3 linked regions of the Arabidopsis thaliana genome follow. The protein of the gene in region 1 interacts with the protein of each later gene in a pairwise test. Each region holds a gene or a part of one and is shown in the gene's direction. Other genes may lie near its edges. The genes, in order: AT1G07740, AT1G07400 and AT3G53630.

Region 1 (11,444 bases):
AGGCAGCGTTTAAGGTGGCTCCGGAGGTGGAGAAGTCCTTCCGATCCACGAGGACTTCATCAGCCATTTTCTTCCCTCCTTCCAACTGAAGAAGGAGAAGAATGAGAACAAGAACCAGCTTTTATCTTTTATCGTTTGTTGCTTTCCCTCAGAGATTTTTGAGGGTTTTTACTTTTCTTGTGATTCAAGGAAGTTTCTTAGTCTAGTTGTTTAATTCTCTTCCTGCCTTTTCCCCCTGGACCGGTTCTTGTTCTCGTTGTTTTAAAATATTAAAAAATCAACCTTTCCTATATTTTACAGTCTTCCTTCTTTTCAACTTTTGGAAAAATTGAATCAAAAGAAATTTGTCTTCCTTCAAATTCTCACTTTCATATTAAACTTCAGAATTTTGATGGTTCAAAAAGAAATTCCAATTACTGTAAACAAAAATTCCAATCAAACGAACACTATATTGAAAAGTAAGTTCATGTAACGATGACTGATAAAACATTACAACATGTGATTTTGATGACATGAAAAGTAAGAATGGTTTGATAACTACTATTAAAACCTTTGACAAACAGGAACAGGTACACCACACGCTTCTAAAACTTGTTTAGCAGATGTCATATATGGAGCAATCAATGGGTTTTTCAAGTACTCACAAAAACACGACTTTTTATCTTTCAATTTTGTGCAACATTTTGTCGATGGTGGGGTTTCGCCTATTATATCTGGTAGGCATGCTTTGAGATCTGTCACGACGCATGCCGCTTTCTCCTCTGCTTTGGTCGGAGCCATTGACGAGAGAACAAACGCAACGAAAACTAATGTAGTGAACTTCATCTTCATGTCTTGTAAGTTGTAACCTTAAGTTTCTCCTTCTATCTAATTTCTAGTCTTGCTTAGAAAATGCTTGAAATAATCGATTACGAGATTTGTTTAAGAATGGAGTAATGTTTTGCAGTATAGGCTGATGTGTGTGTTTTAGGTATATATATAGTGTCGACTGTCTTTAATTGTTGATTACTGGAATTAAGCTAACAAATTTGAAAGCACTGCCTTTTATAGAAACTGGAAAGATTTAATTATAGGAAATGAATCAATCAGTTCACATGTGTATATACAGTTTGGAAATGTTCGAAAATACATATAGAAGTTTGATATTAACAAATGATTTCAATCAATGAAAATCTTCAAAGATTTAATATAAATAAAATTTCTTTGGAAAGTAATTAAATAGGAAAAAAAAAATAAGAGATCTGGAAATTTATAAATTTATTTGGTTTAGGTTAACTGAGTATCGGTTTAAAATTGAGGTGACCAAGGATGTTAAAATGGGCTAAAAGTTTAGGGCCGGTCCGGATCCGTTGAAAAATATAAGCTCTGGGCCTGATAAAATTGAATGAGAGATTTTCGGGCTAAAACAAGGCTGGCCCTATTTGCGGTTTTCAGATTGGGGTAAACCGGGATTAAGAGTCTGGGTCGTGAAAACGAACCGGAGGCTAATTGGATTTGTTCTTCCTTCTCCACATTCCAATTTGAGGGCAGTGGAGGTGTAACAACAATGGCGCCTCTCAAACATCTGGAGAAGGAAAATCCAATCATCGACGCATGTTTCCAAGATTTCTGCGCCTCTCATGGAATTTTAACAAGTTGTGTTCTACATCTTCTCTTCTTGTATCTCGTTTTCTCGTATCGATTCTATTTGATTTCTCCTGTTTGCCTGCAAAAAAACGACTGTGGTTGGCATATGAACATGAGAAACACAATTGCTTAGTCCAATTACTGTAAGTTCACTTTAAAAAGTTTTGAATTCTGGAATCTGGATAGTGCGCTGTTTGATATTTGATCGTTTAAGCTAAAGGTGTTCGACGAATTAGATTTTTGTAGTTATAGAGTCGGATTCGGTTTGGAATGTTTGTGTTGATGGCTTTTCTCAAAATTGCAGTTGAGGATTTCCTTCTGCATGATCTCTACGAACTTACTGCATTTTCTCAACGGCAGACAAATGCAGATAGATTGAAAGAGGTTTTTAGCTTTTTACTTAACGTTACTGTCGATTTTTGAGGTTTAATTGTGTGTGTGCGCTCAAAGGTATGTGACATATGTTTTCCTTCGGATGCTTCAGGGTATCACTCTCATCCTCTCTTTGATAGAACGTCAGTGTCGGCCATTGGTGAATGGTTTAAAACTGTTGGAGGATCTACACCGTAATAAACATACTCTGTCGACTGGAGACAAAGAGACGGACTCATTGCTTCAAGGTGGATTCCGTGAGGGTCAGCTTACAGAACTTGTCGGACCTTCCTCTTCTGGGAAAACACAAGTATGTATTTTCTGTTAGGCATTTCACTATTCATGTTTTTGTCTTGTCTTCTGTGTGAAAATTATTCATAGATAATCGTTTTAAATCTTTAGGAATTGTAGATTGTTTCATTCAAACAAAGAGACTGTTCCTAGAAAAAAAGTGTTGTCTTTGCTTACCCTTTTTTTGTGCTCTCTCTTTACATTGTGTGATTTCTTATGAATGACTAGTTTTGCATGCAAGCTGCTGCAAGTGTAGCAGAGAATCATCTTGGCAGAGTCTTGTATTTAGACACAGGGAACTCTTTTTCTGCCCGACGCATTGCTCAATTTATCTGCTCCAGTTCAGATGCTACTTTAGGGCAGGTTTATTTATTTCTTGTACCCTAGCCTATGACCCAGTTCTTTAGTCAATCACCAATTATTTATGTTTTTAATCTTATGGACAAGAAACGTATAAGTGCAGAAAGTCATGAGCAGAATATTATGCCACACGGTCTATGACATATATACACTGTTTGATACGCTGCAAGATCTAGAGATTACTTTGAGGTTGCAGGTATTAAGCTAGCTAAAAGATGCAATCTCCTCAATGTCACTTTAATGTCTATATTCTTAGTGTTAACCATGAGTTATCTATTTCTTTTCACTTGCAGATGAATGTGAATGAGTCCCGACTACGATTGTTAGTTGTTGATTCAATCTCTTCTCTGATTACTCCAATCCTTGGAGGCAGTGGCTCACAGGGTACATACCCTTGTATGTCTATCACTTTTTCTTCACCTCAATGGTTAACAGTTGTGCGGGTGATTATGAAGAATGACTCAGAAATTGGTGTGTGCAGGACGCGCTTTGATGGTGGCAATTGGATATTTGCTTAAGAAGCTGGCTCATGAACATAGCATCGCTATACTGGTATTAAAGAAGTTTCAGGCCATTAAGCGTGTCCTTGTGCTTTAAAGTCAAAACCTTTTTTTTGTGTCTCCTTGTGTATTGAAGGTGACAAATCACACGGTGGGTGCTGGAGGAGAAGGTGGTAAAACCAAACCAGCTCTTGGGGAAACATGGAAAAGCATCCCACACGTGAGACTTTCGCTATCACGTGACCATAAGAACAGCAACTGCACCATCTCCATCTTAAAACACACATCCTTGGTACGTTGCTAACCAAACAAAATTTCTGTATCTCTTAGTCCAACGTCATTTCCTTTGGTTTTACAGTTTCTGTGTGTGATTATTTTCTTTGTAGCCTTCAGGCCAAGCTGCGAAGACCTTGACTCGCAAGGAGAATCAACAATGTCCATAAGCCTCCTTGGCTATATATTCCACGCCCATCGTTTGGATGTGCAAGAAGAGAACCACATAAATGAATGATCAGATGGATTTCTTGTTTCGGTTTTACATGTAGAATTATACTGCAGCAATGAAAATTAAAATTTGTTGAACAAATGAGTGGTGTGTATATAAGGATCACATGAATATAGAATCACATTTTAAAACTTTGCGCGCACACCAAAAAATAAAATAAAAATAAAGCTTTCTAGTTTATTCCGAGTTTGCATATTTAAGCTGAAACAGAGCAAAGGAAGAAGACGAAGAGAATCCGATGCGTAGAAGACTATCTTCCGTGCTAATCAACAATCAGTGCATCGCGTCCCAACGCCATTACCACACATCTCGACCTGAGAAACCCACAAAGAAAGCCAGCAGCCATGAACCAACTCACAAATTCACCAGGAAGCCATGGGAGGAAGTGCCATTTCTCACCGATCTCAAAGAAATCGAAGACCCAGAGGAAGCTCTTTCTCTCTTCCACCAATACCAGGAAATGGGTTTCCGACACGACTACCCATCTTACTCTTCTCTCATCTACAAGCTTGCAAAGTCCCGTAACTTCGACGCCGTCGACCAAATTCTCCGCCTTGTTCGCTATCGAAACGTCCGGTGCAGAGAATCCCTCTTCATGGGATTGATTCAGCATTACGGGAAAGCCGGTTCGGTCGACAAAGCCATCGATGTTTTCCACAAAATCACCTCCTTTGATTGTGTTCGCACGATTCAGTCTCTCAACACTCTCATCAACGTTCTGGTCGATAACGGCGAGTTGGAAAAGGCCAAAAGCTTTTTCGACGGGGCAAAGGATATGCGTTTGCGTCCCAATTCGGTGTCTTTCAATATTTTGATCAAAGGATTTCTTGATAAATGCGATTGGGAAGCTGCATGTAAGGTGTTCGACGAAATGCTTGAGATGGAGGTGCAACCGAGTGTTGTGACATACAATAGCCTGATTGGTTTCTTATGCCGAAATGACGATATGGGTAAGGCGAAGAGCTTGCTTGAAGATATGATTAAGAAAAGAATACGTCCGAATGCTGTGACATTTGGGTTGTTAATGAAAGGTTTATGTTGTAAGGGAGAGTACAATGAAGCAAAGAAGTTGATGTTCGATATGGAGTATCGTGGGTGTAAACCGGGTCTCGTTAACTACGGAATTTTGATGAGTGATCTTGGGAAGAGAGGGAGAATTGATGAGGCAAAGCTTCTACTCGGCGAGATGAAGAAAAGACGGATAAAACCAGATGTTGTGATCTATAACATTCTGGTAAACCATCTTTGCACTGAGTGTAGAGTCCCTGAGGCTTATAGAGTGCTGACGGAAATGCAGATGAAAGGGTGTAAACCAAATGCAGCTACATACCGTATGATGATTGATGGGTTTTGTCGTATCGAGGATTTTGATTCAGGGTTGAATGTTTTGAATGCAATGCTTGCAAGCAGACACTGTCCCACACCTGCAACGTTTGTATGTATGGTTGCTGGGCTGATTAAAGGCGGTAACTTGGACCATGCTTGCTTTGTGTTAGAGGTGATGGGAAAGAAAAACTTAAGTTTTGGGTCTGGTGCTTGGCAAAATCTACTTTCTGATCTCTGCATCAAGGATGGAGGAGTATATTGTGAGGCTTTGTCAGAAGTAATTTCCATCTAAGCAATGACCTTTTTAAAGGTAAGATTCTCATCCTTGTTTATTCATGTCTGTTAAAATTAACAGGGTGGACGAATTTATTTTCTTCTTAATCTTTGGTTAATTCACAGTTTCACACAATGGAACTTCTAAATTGATACATTCAAGATCTTGTGGTGAAGTTATAGCTGAAGTGTTCTGGCTTTTTTTTTCTTCTTTCTTTTCTCTATGTTTCTTCTCTAAACCGAACCACCCATATAATGGAAAAGTTGTCAGTATGTCACCTACTCTGTTTCATCAACTACATCTTCTTATATCACCAATATAGCTCATTTTATATATAAATGCTCCTCTAGAATCAACGTATATAAACACACGAGAATTAGAAACAATTCAACTCCAATTCAAATTAACAATCTTAGTCTCTGATCTTTCTACTTGTCAATGGCAGGCTGCAAAGTACTCTTCTTCCTGATTTTAGCTCTCGCCATTACTTTTGTCTCAGCTGCTCGGCTTCTTGATGAAGAAGAAGATATTGGGTTGGTCCCTTTGCCTACCACGAGTCCTGGTCCTTTACCAACAGTTGGTTTAGGCCCCTTTCCCACTGCTAATTCAGGCCCTGCAACTGGTATCGCTTCAGGTACAGGTTCAGCCTCAGGGGGTTTAGGTTCCTTGGGTACCAATACTGGCCCCGGGCCTCTATCGACCACTGGTTCTAGTCTTTTACCAGTTGCTAGTTCGGGTACCTTGCCTGTTACTGGCCCCGGTCCTCTACCAACCAGTTCTGGTCTCTTACCGGGTGCTAGTTCGGGTAACTTGCCTGGTTCAGGTTCAGGGCCTTTGCCTACTGTTGGTTCAGGTGCTGCAGCTACGGGTCTGGGCGCAGGTGCAGGGTCAGTGATTGGTGGTTCAGTTCCTGACAACACTTTGGTTTTCTTCATGCACGATATACTCGGTGGCTCAAACCCGACAGCGAGGGCTGTGACTGGAGTCGTCGCAAACGCAGCCCTCAGTGGCCAAATTCCATTCGCTAAGCCCAATGGTGCAAACCTCCCTGTTAGTAACGGCGTTCCATCAGACAATAACAACAATGGAATCCTGAACAATAACAACGTCCCACTTCTCGTCGGGCTTGGCGGAACCACTTCCAACATTCTACAGAACAATGGAAACAACATGTTGAACGGTCTTCCCGTGGCTAACGGCGGCCAGCTCCCATCGGGTTCGTCTCTTCAGATGCTCATGTTTGGGACATTGACGGTGATGGACAACGAACTAACCGAAGGACACGAACTCGGGTCTGGTCTGCTGGGTAAAGCCCAAGGCTTCTACGTGGCAAGTGCCCTTGATGGGACCAGCCAGACTATGGCTTTCACGGCTATGTTTGAGAGCGGTGGATATGAAGATAGCATCAGTTTCTTCGGTGTGCATAGAACAGCTGCATCGGAATCTCATCTTGGGGTAATGGGCGGTACTGGTAAGTATGTGAATGCGAGAGGCTTCGCAATTGTCAAGACTTTTACGGGTTCCTCCGGGACCCAGCAGCAGCAGCCGCACCAGTTCACAGATGGGCTCGAGACTGTTCTGGAGTGCACCGTTTATCTTTCTTACTAGTTTCTTTTCCCTCTTCTCTTATCTTTTTTGTCTACCAAGAAAACGTGAAAACCTATTAATTTGACAACCAATCCCTTGTTATTCCAACTTTTACTCTTAAGAACAAAAACAGAGAAAAAAGTTAGTTACCACTGTGACTGATCATTTAACAAACTATACCTCTAAATTAAGAAAGACAATGATGTATACATGCATGTGTTTTATCCATACAACCTGTAAATTTCAGTCTAAATTTAACACAAACAATTTGTTGTCCCAAAATCAAAGACTTAGAAAACAAAATGAGAGACATAAACGGATGACCAGCGTGTACATTTTGACGAACTTGGAACGGCTCCAACAAAAAAAAACAGTCGCCGAAACAAGAAACCGAAGATGGTAAATAAATACCCCAACACCTTAAGACCCATTTCTTCAAACCCAAGAAACAATGGTGCTCTTGAAACCCACCACCTTATCAAAATCCTCTAAGGTCGGGCCGCAACAGCAACAGGGCTTCTCCGAGTCTCTAATCGGCGATAGTGTGGAGGCAGCTGACGCCTTCATATGCCAATGGGTTACTCCACACCTCTGCGACTCTTCTTCTTCTTCATGCAGCCTCTCTTCCCTCTTCTCCGCTCAAAACCGCCTAGAAGGCAGACGCTTCCTCGAGGTTCTCGGCAAGTTACAATACGCCATTCAGAGCACCGTTGCTATGAATCCGGACTCCGCTAAGCTTGCTAAAGGACAGGATTTGATGCGGAAAGCTATGAAGCATTTGGAGAAGGAGTTTTACCGGGTTTTGAAATCGAATCGCCGCTTTCTGAGTCCAGAATCCGTCTCTGGTTGGTCTTCTGAATCCAACATACCTTCGAGATCAAGTGGAACCGCTTCGGATTCTTCATCAGATGGAGAGCTTTACTCTGAATCCTCATCGGAATTAGGTAAAGACATAGGAGGAGGAGGGAATTCTGATGCTATTGTTGATTTGAAGATGATAGCAAATTGCATGATCTCCTCTGGTTACGAGAAGGATTGTGTTAAAATCTACAAGAAGTTTCGCAAAAAGATCATCGTCGACACATTGTCTCATCTAGGGTTCGAGAAGCTAACCTCTACACAGATGCAGAAACTGGAATGGGAGATTCTGGAGAAGAAGATCAAAATATGGGTGATTGTTGCGAGAGTAGCAATCACCACTCTGTTCAACGGAGAACGAATCCTTTCCGATCACATTTTCTCCTCCTCCGTCGCTGAATCTTGCTTCGTTGACATAACGCTACAGAGCGCGTTAAACCTCTTCATCTTCTCACTAACCGTAGCGAAATCCAGAAAAACTGCAGAGAAGATCTTCCCTACGCTTGACGTTTACCAGACGATCTTGCAACTGACTCCCAAAATCGATCAGATTTTTAGCTACGATTCAACCGCTGCCGTTAGATTACAGGCGAATGAATCTCTAGAGAAGCTATCGGAATCGGTGAATGCAATGATGACGGAGTTTCAATCGTCGATTACGAAGGAATCGTCGAAATCGGCGATTTCTGGCGGCGGAGTTCATCAGCTCACGAGGTATGTGATGAACTTCATCGTCTTCCTCGCAGACTACAGCGATTCTCTCGCCACCATTCTCAAGGAGTCATCGTTACCTTTACCGGAGGATTACTTCAGTAGCAGCGGCGAAGAGAATCCAGGATCCGGTGATCGTTCTCCGATGGCGGCGAGACTCGCGTGGTTGATTCTCGTCTTGCTCTGTAAAATCGACGCCAAATCTCGGCTCTACAACGACTCGGCTCTATCGTATCTCTTCCTAGCGAACAACCTCCATTACGTTGTGACCAAGGTCCGTACATCGAATCTCAGACTCGTACTCGGAGACGATTGGGTAGCGAATCACGAGGTTAAAGTGAATCAATACCTCGAGAAATACGAAAAAATGGCCTGGGGGGATGTGATAGCGTCGCTCCCCGGTGATTCAACGGCGGGGACGGAGGCGGAGGAGTCTCTGAGACGGTTCAACGAGGCGTTCGAAGAGGCTTACAAGAAGCACAAGACATGGGTCGTACCCGACCCGAACCTGAGAGACGAGATCCAAGCGTCCATAGCGAGAAAACTAATGCCCGGGTATACGGGTTTCTATAAGAAACACCCGGTCGGGTCATGCAATATTGTCAGATTTACCCCTGAAGATCTAAATAATTACATAACCGACCTATATGTTGGTTTAGGAAGATCCGTGCCCGTATCCAAAACTAAGAAGTATATGGTTAGCCCAAGCCATACGACGGATTTGAAGTAATAGCTCCATGTAAAAAGCCCTCATACGTGTAACTCTGTGAAATCAACGAATCATAGGCCGGTCCTAGGCTAAAAGCCCATATATCAATTTTGGGCTTCAAATTATAGACCATAGATATAAAAGTCTACATTTCATTTGCCATATTCAGAATCAGTGTGTACTTGTGCTTGCTTTTGTTCTCTATTGATCTGATCTTCTTGTACGTGTGTTGTTCACACTCACGCCTAAATCACATTCTTCTTTATAAATCTTTTTGTTTAACCTTTTCTTCGCAAACCCATAACGTGTAGGGTTTAGTTTCCTTGTAGTTTTTAGTTTATTTTAGGATTCAGTTTGGTTCGGATTTATGCGTTTTTGTGACTAATAGTTTTAAATTTTGTTTGGCAATCGAATGGAGAAACAGTCATGCACAATAGTAAAGCAAATGACTTGTTTTATATTTTTCGTTACTTTGATAATGTTATTATGGTTAGCTATGGCCTATGCATGCAGGCGGATTTGAATTGAGTATATATTTGTTGAAACAAACATATTTTTACAAAAATGAAAGAAAAAAAGTACTCCATTGACTTTTTTGTAAAATTAAATAGATAAATCATATGATAGATGACCGACAAAATAATATGGCTCGTTGCTAAAAAAGGCCATGATTCGTCGCAGGAAAATAAAAAGAATTGTGGTTGGAAGTTAAGTAGTTAGATGAGCAAGTCTTTAATGATGATGGATTTATTTTAGTATTCTGTATGCAAACGTAGGAGACGTATACCAGTTTTCCCACGATGTATCTGCCATTTCCTTAAATTTTTCAGTGGCAACATGCAATGTTAACTTCAAATTCTATTGAAAAAAAAGGTTAACATCTCAACATACTACTTCTTTTTGTCCATATTTTGCCTGCATAAAAAATATTACCATCACATATCTCTCTGTCTTGCAACAAATTAACCAATATACATTTGGCCAACGATCTAGGGTTTGAAAGAAATGTTTTTAACACACGGACACGTAACTTGAATGCCGTTTATCATTATAAAGAAAACAAACAATATACAAGGACACTTAATCACTAAGCCACAATGAAAGAGACATTTGATTAATAATGCATTCACACGTAAATGATTGTGAACCAGTGTCATCTCTCCATTTGCTACCAATCGAATCGAAAATTTTGGTTTATTTGGATAATCTTAAGAAAAGTCAAACTTATAAAATGAAATGACCAGCTAACTAAAAACACCGGCAAACATTAACTCCTGTAATTATCAACTTAGAAAGAAAAAAACATTAACTCCTCCATTATTAGAACTAACCTCAAAACAACAACTCTTAATGCTTTCACAAAGTGTTTCCAATCTTCTCGACCATTTTTATAAAGCAAATTGACACGCAGTAAACGCGTGATCGTCATTGACAACATATAATGCGTCCAAATAAATTTAAATGATGTATAAAAAATCATAGTCTTTGTAGAATTAAAAGAGATGGTTATGAATTTGAATCGATCAATTAAATAAGAGAAAAAAGTAAAGGACGTAGTCGCACGCGGATAGTGTGAGTAAGCGTTACGTTGATGGCTTTGTAGTAAAAGAGAGATACGTAATTAAGTTGGTGGAGGTTGAGATGAGAGCTTTCATCACAACACTCTCACTTATATCCAAAAAAGTTCATTATTTCATAAACCTGTATATTGCTTCTTCATACTAGCTCACTTTCTCACCAAATCTCTTTATTGCTCTTTCACCTACAACCTCAAATTTTCTATATAGCATATAATAAAACATATTAATTAATTTTGATACCCAATATATCTAAACTTTAAAACTTAATTTGGTCCAACAAACGTCAATCGATACAATCATGTGTTCTTCTAGCTTATGGATTCTATTTGACGACATCATGAAGAGTTTGTACAAATCAATTAATTTGGATATTACATAAACTAAAAATATGTTGTTTTTTTTTACGGATGATCTTTTAATAACTGAAGATGAAAATTAATTTTAGTTAGAAATGTCTTGAATAATAATTAATGTCACAGAAAAGTCAGAACGTACCAAAGATTTCCGCGTGTATTAAACTTAATAAATAGACACAAGCCAAGTCTTAGCAGTGTACTACTACTAACACACATCCACATCAATGTGTCATCTTTGTTGTATGACACAAGTTAGTATGACAATCAGTGTTTGAGTAGTGATGGTTTAAATGGAATGTTTGAGAATCCAATACAATTGGCGGTCTGCTAATGGCCAGAATATCTGCCAAAGTTATTTTTTATCTACTGCTTATAAATCGTACAACAAT
Region 2 (8,941 bases), 120 kb from region 1:
GTAAGCTGTGTGGAAACTGAACGGATGGGTTTGTTGCAGCTCAAGTCGTATCTCAAGAATCTCGTTGATGCCGAAGAAGAAGAAGAAGAAGGACTTAGTATTCTCAAGTCATGGACTCATCATGAAGGTGATTGTTGCCGTTGGGAGAGAGTAAAGTGTAGTGATGCTATTAATGGCCACGTCATCGGTCTCTCACTGGATAGACTCGTACCGGTCGCATTTGAGTCGCAAACTCGGTCTTTAAATCTGTCTTTGCTTCATAGTTTTCCTCAACTCCAAAGCCTTAATCTTTCGTGGAATTGGTTCACTAATTTGTCTGATCACTTCCTTGGTACGTCTCTCTAACCGAACATTTCTCAATTTTCCCACTAATTAATGTCTGGATACCAACAACAAGAAATAGCGGTTCAGGTTTAAACCGGTTTTAACCAAATACAAACAACCTCACGAAAATCTCTTCCAACGGCAACAATAGAAACAGAGTCCTTTTACCGTATGGTTTTGTCTCTAAGATCAGCCATAGCTGATTTATCGAATAAGAATGTGTATAAAGTTCAATATAAGATCTTGATGATTGTGTGAAATAAGGGTAGGGCGCGTGAGTTTGATTCTGTAATTTGGTATATTACATAGTGCACATAAAGTGTTCGACAGTTTGTTTGAAAGAGAATTTTAGTTTTTTTTTTTCCCTTGCATTTTTGTTTTCAGGTTTTAAGAGCTTTGGGACACTAGATAAGCTCACTACCTTAGATTTCTCCCATAATATGTTCGACAACAGTATCGTCCCGTTTTTAAATGCTGCGACATCGATTAGGAGTCTACATCTTGAGTCTAATTACATGGAAGGTGTCTTTCCTCCTCAAGGTTATGTATTTCTTCTATATGTTTGGTTCTCTTTTTGACATTTTTGTATATAATTCAATTGGAGATGGATTTTGACGGCTTCTTGTTCTGGTGTGGCAGAACTTTCAAACATGACAAACTTGAGAGTGTTAAACTTGAAGGACAACAGTTTCAGCTTCTTATCTTCTCAAGGTAAAATATGTCAACAAACCTTTATATAGTTTTGTTGTTCCAAAAGAAAAGAGAGAACTAAAGAATTGATGTCAGATGACTGACTAAGTGTGACATTGAGATGCAGGTTTAACAGATTTCAGAGATTTGGAAGTACTGGATCTCAGTTTCAATGGTGTCAATGACTCTGAGGCTAGTCATAGTGAGTGGCTGCCTTTTTTTGCTTTGTTTTATGGAAGTGCTTACCTCTGCTGACTTATAACATCACTTATGAATGTGTTTCTTGGTGGTGCAGGTTTAAGTACGGCGAAACTGAAAACACTAGATCTTAATTTCAATCCGTTGTCAGATTTTTCTCAACTTAAAGGTAGACAGAGAGTACCAGGGGATTTACATACATGATCTTTATCCATTTCTGTCAACTTTCCAATTATAACTTGTGTTTTCCCGGATCTTCAGGTTTAGAAAGCCTCCAAGAGTTACAAGTCTTGAAATTACGAGGAAATAAATTCAACCACACGCTATCTACTCATGGTAAGTGTTATAAAACTGTTCTTGCAGAAGTGACTTATGGCTTAAAGAAGGCAATCAAATGTATTCTGGGTTTTTCTCCTAAGAATGTTTATTTTGCCTGGCAGTACTGAAAGATCTTAAAATGTTGCAAGAACTGGATCTCAGTGACAATGGGTTCACAAATTTAGATCATGGCCGAGGTAAGACATATATAGAAAGTAAAACTTGCTTGCTCTATCCTAACTGGTTTAATCTATCTACTTTAACTTTTTTTCATAGACGTTGATGAGAGTAGAAGTGAGAAGAGATTTGATTTTAGAGAAGTTGTTCAGAAAGTCGAGGTCAGAAATTAAAAGTTCAGCAAGCAACTATGAAGCCTAGTTTTCCTGGGTATCTTCTATAGCTATTGTAGACCCTCTGGATAGGATTGCGTCTAAGTTTCCAGATGAGCATAACACACCACAAGTCAGTTACTGTGGGAGGGGTTAAAGAGACTAGAATCAGATTATGATAAAATAATTCTGGATATTGTTTGGTTTGGTGTAGGTTTTTGTGGTCAATAATTGAGAATAATTTCGTTGAATCAATGTCTCATTGGTGTGTTACATTTGGGTTGGTGAATATAGAACGGTTTCCTGGGTTGCTTAACAGTCACTTACATGCTTATTAGAAGTGGAGCATGCAAATCTTTATCTATTTATGTATCCTTATGTTCTTTCAACTGCAGGTTTAGAGATTCCTACATCTTTACAAGTATTGGATTTCAAAAGAAATCAATTGTCTTTGACCCACGAAGGTGAATATTACAATAATTTTATCTTTCTTATCTTATGCATTTTTTGGTCTAAACAGAAGAGTCACACTTTGGTCACCCTCCTAACTGAATTTATACATAGATAGATTGTGAGAACAGAAGAACTTAATGAGTTACATGGCTATGAAGTCTAATTAGTTCATATGATGATGGAGTTGGTGAATATCTTGTTATTACTCTCTTTTAAAGATGAAGTTGATGATTATTCTGATTTCTTACACTCTTATTTGATTAATTTCAGGCTATTTAGGGATTTGCAGACTAATGAAACTCAGGGAGCTGGATTTGAGCAGCAATGCTTTAACAAGTCTACCTTATTGTTTGGGTAACTTAACGCATCTTCGAACTCTTGATCTATCGAACAACCAATTGAATGGAAACCTGTCTTCCTTTGTGTCTGGTCTACCATCAGTGCTTGAGTACTTGTCGCTGCTTGATAATAACTTCGACGGTTCGTTCTTGTTCAACTCACTGGTCAATCAAACAAGACTCACAGTATTCAAATTGTCATCAAAAGTTGGTGTGATCCAAGTTCAGACTGAGAGTTCATGGGCTCCATTGTTTCAATTGAAGATGTTATATTTATCGAATTGCAGTCTTGGCAGCACAATGCTCGGCTTTCTCGTGCATCAGCGTGACTTGTGCTTCGTTGATCTCTCTCATAACAAGTTGACAGGAACATTCCCGACTTGGCTTGTGAAGAATAACACAAGGCTGCAGACTATTTTACTAAGTGGGAACTCATTGACAAAGCTTCAACTACCTATTCTTGTTCATGGCTTGCAAGTTCTCGATATCTCGAGTAATATGATATATGATTCGATTCAAGAGGACATAGGGATGGTGTTTCCAAACCTGAGGTTTATGAACTTTTCTTCAAATCATTTTCAAGGAACTATACCATCTTCGATTGGGGAGATGAAAAGCCTACAAGTCTTGGACATGTCTTCTAATGGTCTATATGGGCAGCTACCTATTATGTTTTTAAGTGGTTGCTACTCGCTAAGGGTTCTGAAGCTCTCCAACAATCAATTACAGGGGAAAATATTTTCGAAGCATGCAAATCTTACTGGTTTAGTTGGGCTTTTTCTTGATGGCAACAATTTTACTGGGAGTCTTGAAGAGGGTTTATTGAAGTCAAAGAATCTTACTCTTTTAGACATATCAGATAATAGGTTTTCGGGCATGCTTCCACTTTGGATTGGTAGGATATCAAGGCTTTCCTACCTATACATGAGTGGTAATCAGCTAAAAGGTCCTTTCCCTTTTCTACGACAGAGTCCTTGGGTTGAGGTTATGGACATCTCACACAATAGCTTCTCTGGTTCGATACCAAGGAATGTGAATTTTCCATCTCTCAGAGAACTAAGACTACAAAACAATGAGTTTACGGGTTTAGTTCCGGGAAATTTATTCAAGGCTGCGGGATTAGAAGTGCTTGATTTGCGGAACAACAATTTTTCTGGAAAGATACTGAACACTATTGACCAGACATCTAAGTTACGTATTCTTCTTCTACGGAATAACAGCTTTCAAACTTATATCCCTGGGAAAATATGTCAGCTAAGTGAAGTTGGTCTGTTAGACTTGTCTCACAATCAATTCAGAGGCCCCATACCATCATGTTTCAGTAAAATGTCTTTTGGTGCAGAGCAGAATGACCGTACCATGTCACTTGTTGCAGATTTTGACTTCTCATACATTACATTCTTGCCACATTGTCAATATGGATCACATCTTAACTTGGATGATGGTGTCAGGAATGGTTATCAACCAAAACCAGCAACCGTAGTGGATTTTTTAACGAAAAGCAGATATGAGGCGTATCAAGGTGATATTCTCCGCTATATGCATGGTCTGGATTTGTCGAGCAACGAACTATCGGGTGAAATTCCAATCGAGATTGGAGATCTTCAGAATATCAGGTCCCTGAATTTGTCAAGTAACCGCCTCACAGGCTCCATACCAGATAGCATTTCAAAGCTGAAGGGCTTAGAGAGTCTTGATCTATCCAACAATAAGCTAGATGGAAGTATCCCTCCTGCGCTAGCCGATCTCAACAGTTTAGGATACTTGAATATCTCATATAACAATTTATCAGGTGAAATCCCTTTCAAAGGCCATCTTGTTACCTTTGACGAGAGGAGTTACATAGGCAACGCTCATCTCTGTGGACTTCCTACAAATAAAAATTGCATCTCCCAGAGAGTCCCTGAGCCACCAAGTGTGTCAACGCATGCCAAAGAGGAAGAAAATGAAGAAGAAGGTAATGTGATAGACATGGTGTGGTTTTACTGGACTTGTGCTGCAGTCTACATATCTACATCCTTGGCATTGTTTGCTTTCCTCTACATAGACTCACGATGGTCCCGAGAATGGTTTTATCGTGTAGATCTATGCGTTCATCATATTCTACAGTTCAAGCGTTCCTCAGTCTGCAACTGATTCTGTGGATTAGCCAAGGTATACACCACTGGAATAACACAGTCTTAAAATGCTTTCTTAGTTGATCCAAGTTAGATGAGAAAAAGCTTTTGTATACAAAATATATGTCTTCGATGTCAAATATATACATGATACCAGTTTCAATTTCTAAACATTATCTCATAATATTTGGGCCTCAGGAGCCCATTATAGCCCATAAAACGCATAACGGCTGAATAGAGTCGTACTGTACTTGAAATTGAAAGGCATCTACTAGTAGACTCTAGAGTTTTCTGGATTCTGTTTTCCAATCTTTTCATCGTTTTCGTGTGAAGTTTAAAGAAGTTTGGGACCCGTAAATTCTAGAAGCTCTGGAGATTTCTTGTTCACCACTATAAATACATCATCCGAGTCACCAGCTTTGCTCAGAAGTAGAAATCGAACTCGCCGGAAAATCGTAATTAGCTATCTCAGCATTCCAAACATCTCTTTCGCTTTCGAAATCAAATCGAGAATGTCGCTTATTCCAAGCTTCTTCGGCAACAACAGGCGAAGCAACAGCATCTTCGACCCGTTCTCACTCGACGTTTGGGATCCATTCAAGGAACTGCAATTCCCGTCGTCGCTCTCCGGAGAAACATCGGCGATAACGAACGCACGTGTGGACTGGAAAGAGACGGCGGAGGCGCACGTGTTCAAGGCCGATCTGCCGGGGATGAAGAAAGAGGAGGTTAAAGTGGAGATAGAGGACGACAGTGTGCTCAAGATCAGTGGAGAGAGACACGTGGAGAAAGAGGAGAAGCAGGACACGTGGCATCGTGTGGAGAGGTCGAGCGGGCAATTCTCGAGGAAGTTTAAGCTGCCGGAGAATGTGAAGATGGATCAAGTCAAGGCTTCCATGGAGAACGGAGTTCTGACTGTGACGGTGCCTAAAGTGGAAGAGGCTAAGAAGAAGGCTCAAGTTAAGTCTATTGATATCTCTGGCTAAAGCCAATTAGCTTATGGGTTTCATGTTTATGCGTAAAGACTCTTCTGATTATGGCTCTTGATTTGAATATGGCTCTGTGTTTTGGTAATGATGTATTATAACTGTTAATCCTAATAATTAAGCAAGGCCTTTATATTCTCGTTTCAATTGCTTTTTCTGAAGATTTTAGCCGTAAATTCGATTTTAACTCGGATGGGACCAACTAAACTTAAGTTTAAAGGTTGAATTTTTAATTTAGATATGCAATTTGCATAATCTGATCTTAGTTTTGGTATGACTGATTTGTAACAAAGTCTTATAACAAAAAGTTGAAATTTAATGAAATTATTTCTTCCGTGGTAAACAAAAAAAAAAGAATCTCAAAATTCGAAACTAAATAAAAGGGAGTTTCCGTTTTCACCTCTTGGGCACAAAACCCGCAACGTATAAGGAAAGGAAACAGAGAAATACAGAAACAAAATATATAAAAAAAACATTTGTTCCATTCTCGATCCTTCCGGCTTGCTCAAAAGGTAAAATTCGATTTTCTAGGGTTTCGATTTGCTGCTTTTTGATCTCATTGACGATGATTAGTTGTAGTTTCTTCGATCGATGTTGACGTGAATGTGTATATGCGTAGGTTGATCAGACGCTAGGATTTGAGAAGCAATGGCGAATAGAATAGATCATGAGTACGATTACTTGTTCAAGATCGTCCTGATCGGCGATTCCGGTGTTGGTAAATCCAACATTCTCTCTCGATTCACCAGAAACGAGTTCTGTCTCGAATCCAAATCCACCATTGGCGTCGAATTCGCCACCCGGACTTTACAGGTCATCTCTCTTCTCTCGCTTTCTCTAAATCTAGACAATTTCCCTCCAGATCAATTTGGTGTTTAATCTTAGATTGTGTCGTCGCATTTGCATCCTCTGATATTTGAACAGGCATGTGATTGTTAGATCTGAAGATCTTATGTTATGAAAATGAATTCTCGTTAGGGGTTTATTTTAATGTAATTGTAGCAAATGAAATGGCTCGTCTTTGTTCATGCTTGTATGTGTAATCTTGACTAGGTTGAAGGCAAAACAGTGAAGGCTCAGATTTGGGACACTGCAGGTCAAGAGCGTTATCGAGCAATCACAAGTGCTTACTACAGAGGAGCTGTTGGAGCTCTTCTTGTCTACGACATAACCAAGAGACAAACTTTTGAGAATGTCTTGAGATGGTTACGTGAGCTAAGGGATCATGCTGATTCCAACATTGTTATCATGATGGCTGGAAACAAATCAGACCTGAATCACTTGAGATCTGTTGCTGATGAAGATGGTCGCTCTCTCGCCGAGAAGGAAGGTTTGTCGTTTCTCGAGACATCTGCTTTAGAAGCGACTAACATCGAGAAAGCGTTTCAGACCATTTTGTCTGAGATTTATCATATCATAAGCAAGAAAGCTTTAGCGGCACAAGAAGCTGCAGGTAATCTTCCGGGCCAAGGAACAGCGATCAATATATCAGATTCATCTGCAACTAACAGAAAAGGATGCTGTTCTACCTAATTACAACAATCCAACTATAGTGATTACTAATCAATCAATCACACGTTTTGAGTTTTCTCTTCTGATCTCTTACCAGTTCGTTTCTTCTTTTTTGGTTTAATTTCAGCAAGTATAGTATACCTTTTTCTTTCCGGGTCTTTGTTTTTCCATATCGTATTGGATTTATGTTACAAGATTTTGCTTAGTTGTATTGAACTGTGATCATTCACACCATTTTCTGAAAAAAGAAAGATTTTTTTAGTATCTTGATTTAAAATCTCTTGAAGACATAAGTGTGAATGATTTCCTTAGGATTAGTTTTTGGTTTGGCCAGTTTATATGCTCTTTGATCATTGTAATAGTAGCAGCCAAAGTGGTCTATAAATTGTTGGTCAACCTCTTCTTGGCTTTAATGGGTTGTAATCCTTTTAACTTTTTTCATAATTTCAAATCTTGTTTCTGGTTTCAAAAATCAAAGCGAAATATACTAAAATAGGGTCACTAGGGAGGTGGAAGAGGGTGATGTGCACGTGGGGATGTGTTAGCAATAGCATTCATTTACTCCACCGAAAAGGCCCTGACTCTGATAGAGAGAGTGGTCTTAAAAAAATAAAAATAAAAAGAGTTGGTGAGAAAAATAAAAAAATATCTCAGTTGCCAGATATCTATTTTCATTTTGGTGACAGTCTGTTGTTTGTTTCACTCGTGGCTCCTCTCCCACCTCTTTCTTCTTCTTCTTCTACATCTCTTCCCATCTGTCTCTCATAGATCCATCCATGGCTTCCTTCGTGGAATCTGGTTGGCAGGTACTCTCTCTCTCTCTCTCTCTCTCTCTCTCTTTCTTCATCATAATCTCATCTATCTAATCCTGCTTCCGATTCCCTCGTTTTCCGGCGATTTCCTCCGTCTCGATGACTTAAGTTCACTGTATTGTGATACATGCGTTTTTTTTTTTTTTAGTAATCCACCGGTCTGGATCCATCGGATTCAATTTGGTTTCGTGTCATTGCAGTACTGTTTTAGATCTGAATTTGACTATGCTACTAGTTACGTTGGAATTTTGACCGTATTTCCAGTTTCCGTCTGTTTGCTGGAGCTTAAATGGGTGTAGATATTGATACGGGGCCTAGACACGCATGAATCATATAATCGAGCCCCTTTTTTGTGCTCTCTGTTCAATCGGTTTAGCTTACGGACTTTCCAATGATCGGTTACCAAAATCGATAAAACGCCGTTCTGATTACTGTTATGTATTGTTTTCGAGTCTGTTTCTTATACTTAGTGTGCATTTTGGGTGTCTTGTGTCCTTAACTTGGATCACTGAAACTAGTTTTTACTTAATGATAGTATTTGTTTCCTTTCCTTGGTGTTTTGTGCGTATTGTCTATCATGAGTTCTCATTCAGCACGGAAATTTTGTATCTGGAGCTGATCATTTTATGTGGTTGATGCAGTACCTTGTGACACATTTTAGCGACTTTCAACTGGCATGTATTGGGAGTTTTCTCCTCCATGAAAGCGTGTTTTTCTTATCTGGACTCCCTTTCATTTTTCTTGAAAGGCAAGGCTTTCTCAGCAAGTACAAAATTCAGGTTTATTCTCTTCTTATTATTTATCTTTTACAAGTGTCTTCTATGTATGCAATCATAGCTTTGTGTGATGGTTTGAATATGATAG
Region 3 (10,463 bases), on another chromosome or scaffold:
CTTACGGTGATGGTAATTGGTGACTTGTATCAATCAATGCCAGTAACCGATTATAATACGAGTTCAAATACCAAAAAAAAAAAGAGCTGTAAACAACAAAAATCCATATAATATCTAATACTTTTAAAAGTATAAATCTAATAATTTAAAATAATAATAAGTTAGTAATTTATTTTAAACTCCTAATATCAAAATAGTATAGAAATCCTATACTATCATAGGAATCCTAAAAGTATAAATTATTTTAAATTCTACTAATTTAATAGTTACCAGCTGAAAAAAAAAATAAAAAAAATAAAAAAATAATAGTTACCAAAATTACTATCATAGACAATCCATGCATTTTTGCATGAATCCTAATACTATATAAAATACGATAAACACCCATATTTATCATTTTACACATCTTTTTGTTTGAATTATCCATATACATTATGTATAGAAAGAAAATAAAAACGAATATTCACTTGACAGATTAACATATGCTTTTCTTTTGATTGCAGTTTGTAATCCACCGACAGAGAAATTGCGATGTCATAAATCTGAACACGAATTTTCGGTGCACTCGCCAACACCTGATCTCAACTCTCTCCAGCATATTCCCCAAATTAACAGTAGCTAACGGAGACTTAACGTGGACTCCTCGCAATCCGAGTCACTTTAACGTGTATCAGACAGCCAAACCTTACGTTGACCCCACCGCCGTTAGGAATTCCGTCTATGTCTCTTTTTCCATCATCCAATAAAATCTTGCCACATTGACACTTTCGGGTCCGGACATATTCCAAAATTAAAGAGAATTTAATTTATTGTTTTCCTTCCAGAAAAATATTAATATTCTTTCTAAACTAAAAAATGGAGTCTTCAAATAGCACAGAAGCAGAGACATAGAGCGGGAACGCGTTTAGTCACAGCTTTCTTCTCCTTTAGCTTTTCTCTCTACACTTGCTTCTCTCTCTCTCTCCTTTGGGTTATCCTTCTTGAGATCTGTGCTTGCGTTTCTTCTTCATTCGACGACACTTTATCTCGGGAGATTTCAGATTTGTCGATTTGTTCAGGTACGGATTTCGAAATGTTCTTTCAATCGGATTTGTTCTTCCTCGGAAGGTTTCTAGGGTTTTGGGATTGGGTGTCTTTAATCTGTTTGCATAAGCCATGAACGAGTTTTTTTGTTCCCCCGAGAGATCTTTGTGACTTGTAGATCTGAGTTGGGTTCCAAAATATTCAATCTTTGTGATGTATATCTACATTTTTAGATTATCAAACTCCATTAAAGAGAAAATCTTTGCTCGTTTCTCTTAAGGCCCATTGCTTTTTATCTGAAGATGATTTCAAGAGAGTGCCCTGTTTTTTTGTATAAATAAAATTTTGATCTTTTGCTCGCTTTATACACATGTGGGAACGGTTTTGTCGGTGGAGACATTTATGGATTCGTGAACTGCTGCAAAAATTATGCGTTTCTTGGACGTTTCTGTAACTTTCTCTTTATTAGATTTTGTATCTTGTGTCTCTGTGTCCACCATTGCGTTGTGTGTATTCAATTGATTTCCCCAGGTGTTGAAGATTGTTATTTATATATTTAACTTATTTTATGCACAGAGATCTTTAGTATAATTCATGAAAATATGGTTTTATCTTCCATGATCTAGGGGAACTAAAACATTTGTAAAGTTTGAGCCCATATTTTGTGTTTGTTGCTTTTCAGAGATGCATATATTATGGTTGTTGTTCTGTTTATGAATTGTTATGTGCATTGTTTTGCAGCAATGGCGCCACCGATTGAGGTTTCTACCAAAAGCTACGTTGAGAAACATGTTTCACTTCCTACTCTTAATGAGAGGATACTTTCGTCCATGAGTCACAGATCAGTAGCTGCACACCCATGGCATGATCTCGAGATAGGTAAGCTATACGTAAAGGTTTCTTTTTCTTTTTTTTGGCTCTAAGATCATTTCATTGTTTTTTAGTAATAACTCTTATACCTTTTTTGCTTCGCATTCCTTTGTTTACAGGACCTGAAGCCCCAATTATCTTCAATTGTGTAAGTGTTTTGCTAAAGCTCTAAGGATTGAAAATATTTAATTATATTGTCACAAAACTGCCATTATGCGTATTCGGAGATGCTGCAGTTGTTTACTATTTCTACAGAATTTACATATTTGTAGCATTCACTCAAAGAAAATTAAAACATTCATTGGCTATATATCTTGAAACCTGAATTGAGTCTGCTGTAGCATATGAAATGATGTTCATCGCCTGATTAGGAAACCATTTTATGGGTTTAATCTTTGAGATATTGTTGTGGGAATCATTAACCAAGCATACGGAGGCATTATTACAGGTGGTTGAGATAGGAAAAGGGAGCAAGGTGAAATATGAACTCGACAAAACTACGGGTCTCATTAAGGTATAAATTTGATTGCATTAACTTTCTTCGCTGTCCCTTTCATTATTAGAGGTACGATTGTCTAAACTTTACACATATTCTCAGGTCGACCGTATTCTTTACTCATCTGTCGTATACCCACACAACTATGGGTTCATTCCGCGTACCCTTTGTGAGGACAGTGACCCTATTGATGTTCTTGTCATTATGCAGGTAACATATTTTTTCATACAATTTTGAGAACCTGCATAATTCATTACATAATGTTTCTTGTTCTATTTTGATTTGTGCATCTGATAAGCTTTGAAGAAGTTCAAGCGCTCAACTCTTAGCTATAGACTCTACTTTATAACTGTGTAGCTTAGGAATGAATGTAGCAGATGAGAAATGTTGCCAGTCAGTTATCGAGCAGTTAGTGGCTGCTAGGCTTATAAAGGTGTCTCAGCATATTGTTTAGAGTGTGGATTTTCTAGTGTTTACTCTGGAATTTAAAACCTCTTATTAATCAATCAAGTCTATAAGCATCATCAGCATCTCAGTCTGTCTTATTTGACTGGTAGAAAACACATCTCATGTGAATCTTGTTGAATATTTTCTACAGGAACCGGTGATCCCAGGATGCTTTCTTCGGGCCAAAGCTATTGGTCTGATGCCAATGATTGATCAGGTTAGATATTCAACGTACTTGTCATATTAGTACTTATAAAAGTAACAGAGATTGAAACTAGAAGCTCTTTCTGCTTGAATAGGGTGAGAAAGACGACAAGATCATTGCTGTCTGCGCTGACGATCCAGAGTATCGCCATTACAACGACATCAGTGAGCTTCCGCCTCATCGTATGGCTGAGATCCGCCGTTTCTTTGAAGACTGTGAGTGTTCTTTTCTTACAAACTTTTGGTTGGTTAAGGATGATATGAGGCTCATACTCTTGTAATCTTGTTGCAGATAAGAAAAACGAGAACAAGGAAGTAGCCGTTAACGACTTCCTTCCGGCAACTGCAGCCTACGACGCAGTTCAGCATTCCATGTAAGTAGCCTTCATGAAACTTACTGTTATTTACTTCATATATTATGACCTTGTAAATAGCCGCAATTTGTTTATATCAAAGAATAACTAACTAATCAAATTGGGACAACTCTTTTGTGTCATGTAGGGATCTCTATGCAGACTACGTCGTGGAGAACCTAAGACGTTGAATCACCACCTCAAGCAATGGAATGAAAGCTCACAACTGCATTATTCACAAATATAAATATACATATAAATGTCAGGCTTCTCAAAGGATATATTTGTTGTGTATGTCCTCTGATGAATCCGGTAGATGATGCCGATAATTCTTTTTTTTTTTTGTCGTATGAAACCGATAATCAAAGACTAAAACAGGGATTTTTCTCATTTGTGGTCATCACTTTTTAAATTTTGGTGTCATTTCTCATCTTAATCAATTTGTTTTTGAGTTTTATTCTTCTATTAGATCTTTTATACATCAAAGAATAGATGAAGATTCCTCCCTAAAACCTTATAGTATGTCATTTATTCACAATATGTTATACGTGTTAATTTTCTCTCTTTTAGTATACTCTTTTTTTTTCTTTCAGATTCCATCCCAAGTTGCTTAAATTTTGTTAAAACCAACTAAATTCCATAGTTCAATTTACAAATCTGTGATCAGATGCTATCTAAATGAATATTACCATTTTAGCCCTTACCTTTTCTGAAATTTACCACGTTTACCTCAATGAACCGTCATCGCAAAACCAAAAACCCTTTCCTATCCCTAAAACCCGAGAGAGCATCTTCTTCTCCTCTTAGGGTAGAAGAAGGACGAAAATCGGAGGAGGAAGAAGAAGATCGATTCGATTTGTGATCAACGATGAGCTCCTTCAATGGAAACAGCAACATCGACAACCTCCTAATCCAAACCCTACTTGGACGTCTCCAAATTCGTCCCCCTAACTCTCATTTCCTCTCTCAATCCCTAGACGACCTCCTCTTCAAATCCGACGACAGCGACGGCGATGATGACGGAGAAGGTCAGACCAGTCTCGACAGAGAAGAAGCTAGGCTTGAGAAAGAGCTAATCCGAGTCATCGTCTCTGGTCGAAGCGATTCTCTCAAGCCGAATTCAGGTCAAGCCGTGACAGTCAACGAACACCACATCTGCGTTGGGTTTCATGAGGATGAGGAATCGGATTATCGTGTTTGGGAGTGGCATGGTCATATCATGTTGTTTGATGAAGAGAATGGGTACACGCCTGAGTATATCTACGGGAATTACTTCGAGAGGTTGCCTGTGAAGCTTCCTAATAACCGCCGTGTGGAGAAGGAGAAGAAGAAGGAGATGAAAGAAGAGGAGGTGGAGAATTTGGGGCTTAGAGAGTTGATCGATGGTGGTGACGCTGCTCCTGGTAGGATTCTTCATAGGAACAACATCAACATCGGTTCCTCAAGGTTTGTTTCTTACAACTCCTTTTAAACTTTCTATCATTCTGTGTTGCTTTCGGGATGATTTAGTTGTTCATTGATCTAGGGTTGGCTAATCAAAGTTTTAGGTCATGTATTAGAGTATGTATTCAGTGAGAAATATAACAATGGCTCATATGTTTTGGATGATTTTTGCTGTTAGCGAATTCTGTTTTGAAATTTGATTCGCTCATGGTGAAGCCTTTAGTTTGCTTTTACAGTTTCTTTTTCGTTGCAAGACAATAAGTTGATGAAAAGAGTTTGGAAAATGATAGTTTTTGATCATTGCCAGTAGTGAATTCAGCACTTGCTGTTTCCTGAATGAAGTTACAGGTTAGGCCAATGTGTGGTTGTGGATTGTGGTCATTGCATTTCTGTCTCGAAATAACACATGGTCGTTAAATACGATCGATTAATTCTCCTCAATTCATATTAGATAGTTGTTTCCCATATATGTATGATAAAACTGCATGTTCTTACAATGCTTTTTGTTAACTTTTTTACCTTGCTCTAGGCCTTCAATGCTGTTTTGGACACTCGATTTAGTTCACAATGTGACTAGTGAGACTTCGTCGATCTCCAAATCAATTGCTTTCATATACAGTTCACTATATTAGTCAGGGATTTTCATGCCAAGAATATTCATTTTTACGGTGTCCACAAATATTGATATAGAATGTTGTTTAAATGTTCATATGATGACCACATCTAGATCTTCCGATATCCATTTACATTACTTAATGAGAGTTCTAAGACGATGAATTTTAAGCTTGTGGTGTGATAATCTACTCAATAGTATTAGTAATGCTTGATCTTACTCTTGCCTTTTCATATTCTGTTCGGATATCCATCCTCTTCCAAGTATCTATTAGATTATTCTCTTGTTTCACTTTAGATTCCAACTTTAACTTGATTATCTTGCGGTTACATACTCAAAATGTTTAGAATCGATCACTGAACTTACGTGGTTCATCGTGAACTGGCAGGGTCTAAGTTCCTAAGAGCGTCTTGGTAGGGAGAGGTCACATTGTTCGGGAAGATTTCAGATGTGTGAACAACTCGCGACAACAAAACATAAGGTGCTGGTGGGTCTACGGGTTCTATTCCGTTTTATTTAAACCGGGAAATCCATGGGTGAATCTGTTTTCTTTAAGAAATTCATCTGAAGTTGTTTCTGAACCAAATTTACAATACATGTTAATGAAGAGAGAAAAGATTACAATGCATGGTCATCGAACTCGGAAGCTTTCAAGTTTCCCCATGTTTGTTTATTTTGTGTTCTTAAATCAGAATCATATGTTTTGCTCATTTTACAATTCTGCTTTCGATAACGAAATTTAATTGAATCGTTTTCAAATCTCGAGTACTTCCAATGAAGATTTCACCTTTTTTTTTTATTGGTGAATAGTATGTATTATATCGGATTTAAAATCACGTTGTGTAATATAATGAGGAAAGTCGTACAAACTACCAAACTAAATGTACGGTAAGAACTGGGAAGCACATGTGTTGCACACGTACCCAATACCCATGGTAGAATGTTGTTATTCATTATTGTTTTAAAATAATATTTAAGATAATAATTTTTTGGAATTTTTAGTTATATTAAGACTTTGTAAAAATTAAATCTTTAATTATTACAAATAAATTGATTTGATATTTGTAACGTAGATATTATTAATCTTATTAAGTTTGATTTTACATATTTAAACGTAAAAATGAAGAAAAAGGTATTTTTCCAAATTTACTCTATTTATAATCTATGTATTAAATTTATATGCTTAATTATAACTTTTTAATAATATAATGCTTAATGTTATAAATATATGTGTGTGAACACTTCTAATACGTACCACTTTCTAAAATTCTTTAAAAATCGTTTTGATATGCAAAAGTTCTACAAAAATTCGCTTAAATAACAATTTCCTCTTCTTTAACTCTTACTCTTCATTTGTTGCCGTGAGTTTTCACCATTCAGAATCATAGTCATTCACGAAATATTCTCATATATATTTTTTTTTGTTAAAAAGAAATGTCAAGTGTAGAAATAAAATGAAAAAAGAAATAAGATATTAGAGAAATACAAAGATTGAAAAGCGATGTCTTCAGAAAATAGATGTTGAAAGCAAAACAATGTTTGCAGACATAAAGTATATTCGGTTGTGCAATGAAACAATGATGTAGACAAAAAAAAACAGTCCTATCAAGCATTGATTTTCTTAACCACTAAATTCAAAAAAGTATGCAATTTTGATCCACACACCCTTAGCTTAAATTAAATCGTCACATTTTTTTTCAACTGTCGAAACTGAATCATGATTCTAAGAACAACATCGTCATTATAACACTCTTTAGAATCTTAATCAAAAAATTAATTGTGTAATATATAGAATGTACATGTATCCAAGCAAGGGCAACAACATTATGAGGTTCACTTGCCCGTGATGAATGGGTGAGCTAATGCCTGTGACACTGTAAGTCTCTTTTGAGGATCAAGTGTGAAAATTTTGTCCAAAAGATTCCTGAAATGAACCAACACCTTGGGATCTTCATCCTCATAACGTCGTCTAATTACTGAACCTAAATCTTTTGGCTTTACGTTGACCATTATTCTCCTTATTGTCTTTCCAGTAACACTATCCTCCTCTGTAGCATAGAAGCATAAGTCCTTATCAAAGTGTTGATCGATAAATGCTCCTTTGCGAAGCATCTTTTTAGGGAAGGGACCTTTCAGTTCCATATGCAGGCGTAACATATCATTGTTTGTGGAGCCAGGGAACATAATTTTCCCGCTATAAAGCTCATACAGACAACAACCAACTGACCAAATATCTAACGGATGGTCGTAGGGTAGTCCAAGAATGATTTCTGGAGCTCTGTAGAAACGACTAACAAGATATGGTGTAACTTGGTTTTCACCAGCAAACATTGCACTACCAAAATCACAAAGCTTTAACATGTTTCTTCCCTCATTCATTAGTATGTTATCAGGCTTTATATCGCAGTGAAGAACCCCACAGTTCTTGAGATGTTTAAGGGATATGAATAACTGCTCAGCATACACTCTAACATCATATAGTTTTAGACCAATGTTGACACCAATCTTCTTCACAACTTCACGGAGATTCAGATGAAGAGACTCAAACACCAAGCAAAGGTGGTTCCTATATTCAAAAGTTGAAAGAAGACGGACGCAGTGGTGCTTATTCTCTGGGTCAGAGCAAACTAGCTTCTTCAATATCCGAATCTCAGCCTGGCCAGCCTTATGCATTGTCTCATTTTTCCGAATAATTTTTATAGCCACTTCCTCAGGTTCACCTAGCTCAGGTTTTGTGTCTTTTGCACGCACCACGGTAGAGAATACACCTTTCCCATGAGTAGCCATGATTTCATATCTATCATCAAGTAGTTCACCAAGCTGATAACTGTAATAACCTTCTGCATCATCCCAATTATCATTGAGTCCACTCCTTACAAAAGGAACAAGTGCATTCCCTTTCCGAGTACCATCAGCTAGAGGAGACTCCCCAAAGATATCATCACTGAACATGTCACTCTTTGGGCTGCCTGCGGAAGCTAGTGTCATATCTGAGTCTGATATCACAAGCCGTGCAGGTGTTTCCCCAACTGCTGAAGATAGCTTGGCGACTTCACCATCTACGGCCTCAGTATCCAACCCAGCTTTAGCTTGAACATCTGCCACAGTAGAGGACTGCTCCAACTTTTTCTTATATTTCTCCAATATGGCTTGCGTAATCCTCTTGCTTTCCTCGATTCTTTTCATCTCTGCAGCTTCTTGTTCTTCAACTCCCCAAACAACATCTTCACCGTCATCATCATTATCAACTTCAGACCTTTCAACGTTGCCCTGAGTTTCACCGTTAGGTTTATGGCTTTTTAAAGAATCTAAGTCATCTTCTGCATCATGCCTAACTTCCCCATATCCATCACCACCACTTTTATAGATCTCCTGATCACTCTGGTCTTCTCTTCTTCCTCTATCCCTATCTTGATCCTTACGTCTCTCTCTTTCATTCTCCCTCCCAGTCTCTCTACTACTAGACCTAGCTTTATCTCTACTACTCCTACCTCTGTAGTTGTCTCTATTGCTTTCTCTATCAATGCTTCCCTTCTTCTTCAAATTCTCCCCTTCCTCCAAATCAAGTTCACCATCGTTACCAGGATTCCCCAAAAATGGATAAACATTCTTTTCATTGCCGTCCTCATCAAGATGATGACTGTGTCGATGCTTGTGATGATGGTGCTTGTGCCGCTTGGAAGATTTAACGACTTCGTCGGAAGGAGAATACGACCTACGGTGTTTGCGGTGGCTTGATTCTACTATCTTATCGCTCACCATCAGATCGTCGGAAAAGATAGACAATCGCAAAATTAGGGTTAGGGTTCGATTTTCTCCCGCGCTCTCTCTGTCTCCGTGAACAACAGACTTCCATTAAAAAAATTCACATTATATAAAAATTACAGTCGGCATCGGCAAATTAAAAGGAAATCAGAATCGTCTATTTAAAAAAACAAAGGGCCCAGGCCCATTAATAATAAATGATTAAGAGGATAGAGCCATCATGTCCGTTGATTATTCGAAACCTTTCCGATGGATGGATGACACGTCATCGATCCGCAAGAAACTCGGGTAACCAATGAAAGCCAGCAGAAGCCTCTATATAAACAAATGTCTCCTCAGTTTTTCCATCAGACGCATCTTTCAATTGTCAAGTGATTGTATTTAACCACAATTTCTTCTCATCTCTAAAGTCAGCATCAATGGCTCCGAAAGCGGCAGAGAAGAAACCGGCTGGGAAGAAGCCAGCAGAAAAAGCTCCGGCAGAGAAATTACCAAAGGCGGAGAAGAAGATCACCAAGGAAGGTGGAAGCGAAAAGAAGAAGAAGAAATCGAAGAAGAACATCGAGACGTACAAGATCTACATCTTCAAGGTTCTGAAACAAGTTCATCCTGATATCGGAATCTCCGGGAAAGCGATGGGGATCATGAACAGTTTCATCAACGACATCTTCGAGAAACTAGCTCAGGAATCATCGCGATTGGCTAGGTACAACAAGAAACCGACGATCACTTCTCGGGAAATTCAGACGGCGGTGAGACTTGTGTTGCCTGGAGAGCTCTCGAAACACGCTGTTTCTGAAGGCACTAAGGCGGTTACTAAATTCACTAGCTCGTAGGGTTTATATCTCTTAATTCTCTTTCCGCCTTTCGAATCGTTTAGGTGTTATCGCTTTCTTCTACATCTTTGGTGGTAAATCTTTGAATGAAAAGTTTCCTTTGTTAATGAATATCGTTTTCTTCATAAGAACAAAAAATTATTTGATCGGTGATCAATATCTTCTTCCGTTTCTGAGGGTTTTTTGGCCTTTTTTTCTATCCATAACTCTTTTGGTTCTTCACGATTCCACTAATTTGGTGGGGAGCAACACTAGTTATATTTTGCAGAGATTTGTGGGCACAATGGTAAATCATATACTTGAGTAATTATGTTAAAGAATGTTTCACTTTAACAAAATCATACTGATCCATTTGGTTTTATCTTAATCCCTTGATTTAATCACTTCATGGTGATTTCTAACTGTGTTTAGTG

Evidence for each region.
Region 2: the proteins of AT1G07740 (region 1) and AT1G07400 interact in a two-hybrid assay, tested with the Arabidopsis thaliana proteins (one large-scale study listed by BioGRID).
Region 3: the proteins of AT1G07740 (region 1) and AT3G53630 interact in a two-hybrid assay, tested with the Arabidopsis thaliana proteins (one large-scale study listed by BioGRID).

What each region holds. Positions count from the first base shown.
Region 1 is NC_003070.9:2,392,945-2,404,388, reverse strand, and holds AT1G07740 (Tetratricopeptide repeat (TPR)-like superfamily protein), read left to right. Parts: upstream 1-3,880; 5' UTR 3,881-3,892; coding exon 3,893-5,272; 3' UTR 5,273-5,290; intron 5,291-5,692; coding exon of another isoform or gene 5,693-6,862; 3' UTR 6,863-6,947; downstream 6,948-11,444. Other genes in the region: AT1G07750 (RmlC-like cupins superfamily protein), read left to right, coding at 1-89; AT1G07747 (Bifunctional inhibitor/lipid-transfer protein/seed storage 2S albumin superfamily protein), read right to left, coding at 544-831; RAD51D (DNA repair RAD51-like protein), read left to right, coding at 1,547-1,634, 1,931-2,010, 2,111-2,308, 2,518-2,652, 2,753-2,845, 2,943-3,033, 3,131-3,201, 3,286-3,441 and 1 more; AT1G07730 (Disease resistance-responsive (dirigent-like protein) family protein), read left to right, coding at 5,693-6,862; EXO70H6 (exocyst subunit exo70 family protein H6), read left to right, coding at 7,293-9,140.
Region 2 is NC_003070.9:2,269,869-2,278,809, forward strand, and holds AT1G07400 (HSP20-like chaperones superfamily protein), read left to right. Parts: upstream 1-5,057; 5' UTR 5,058-5,279; coding exon 5,280-5,753; 3' UTR 5,754-5,915; downstream 5,916-8,941. Other genes in the region: RLP1 (receptor like protein 1), read left to right, coding at 25-331, 709-864, 964-1,035, 1,142-1,216, 1,310-1,381, 1,474-1,548, 1,653-1,727, 1,807-1,868 and 4 more; RABA2b (RAB GTPase homolog A2B), read left to right, coding at 6,402-6,566, 6,807-7,286; SMO2-1 (sterol 4-alpha-methyl-oxidase 2-1), read left to right, coding at 8,042-8,071, 8,719-8,856. UniProt on the Arabidopsis thaliana protein: Cytosolic mediator for sorting and targeting of nascent chloroplast outer envelope membrane (OEM) proteins to the chloroplast. Functions as an AKR2A cofactor to facilitate the targeting of OEP7 to chloroplasts.
Region 3 is NC_003074.8:19,879,725-19,890,187, forward strand, and holds AT3G53630 (uncharacterized protein), read left to right. Parts: upstream 1-4,136; 5' UTR 4,137-4,261; coding exon 4,262-4,839; intron 4,840-5,365; coding exon 5,366-5,468; 3' UTR 5,469-5,837; coding exon of another isoform or gene 5,838-5,844; 3' UTR 5,845-6,214; downstream 6,215-10,463. Other genes in the region: PPa4 (pyrophosphorylase 4), read left to right, coding at 1,767-1,902, 2,013-2,041, 2,342-2,407, 2,492-2,599, 2,988-3,053, 3,136-3,256, 3,333-3,414, 3,542-3,584; AT3G53640 (Protein kinase superfamily protein), read right to left, coding at 7,283-9,211; AT3G53650 (Histone superfamily protein), read left to right, coding at 9,634-10,050.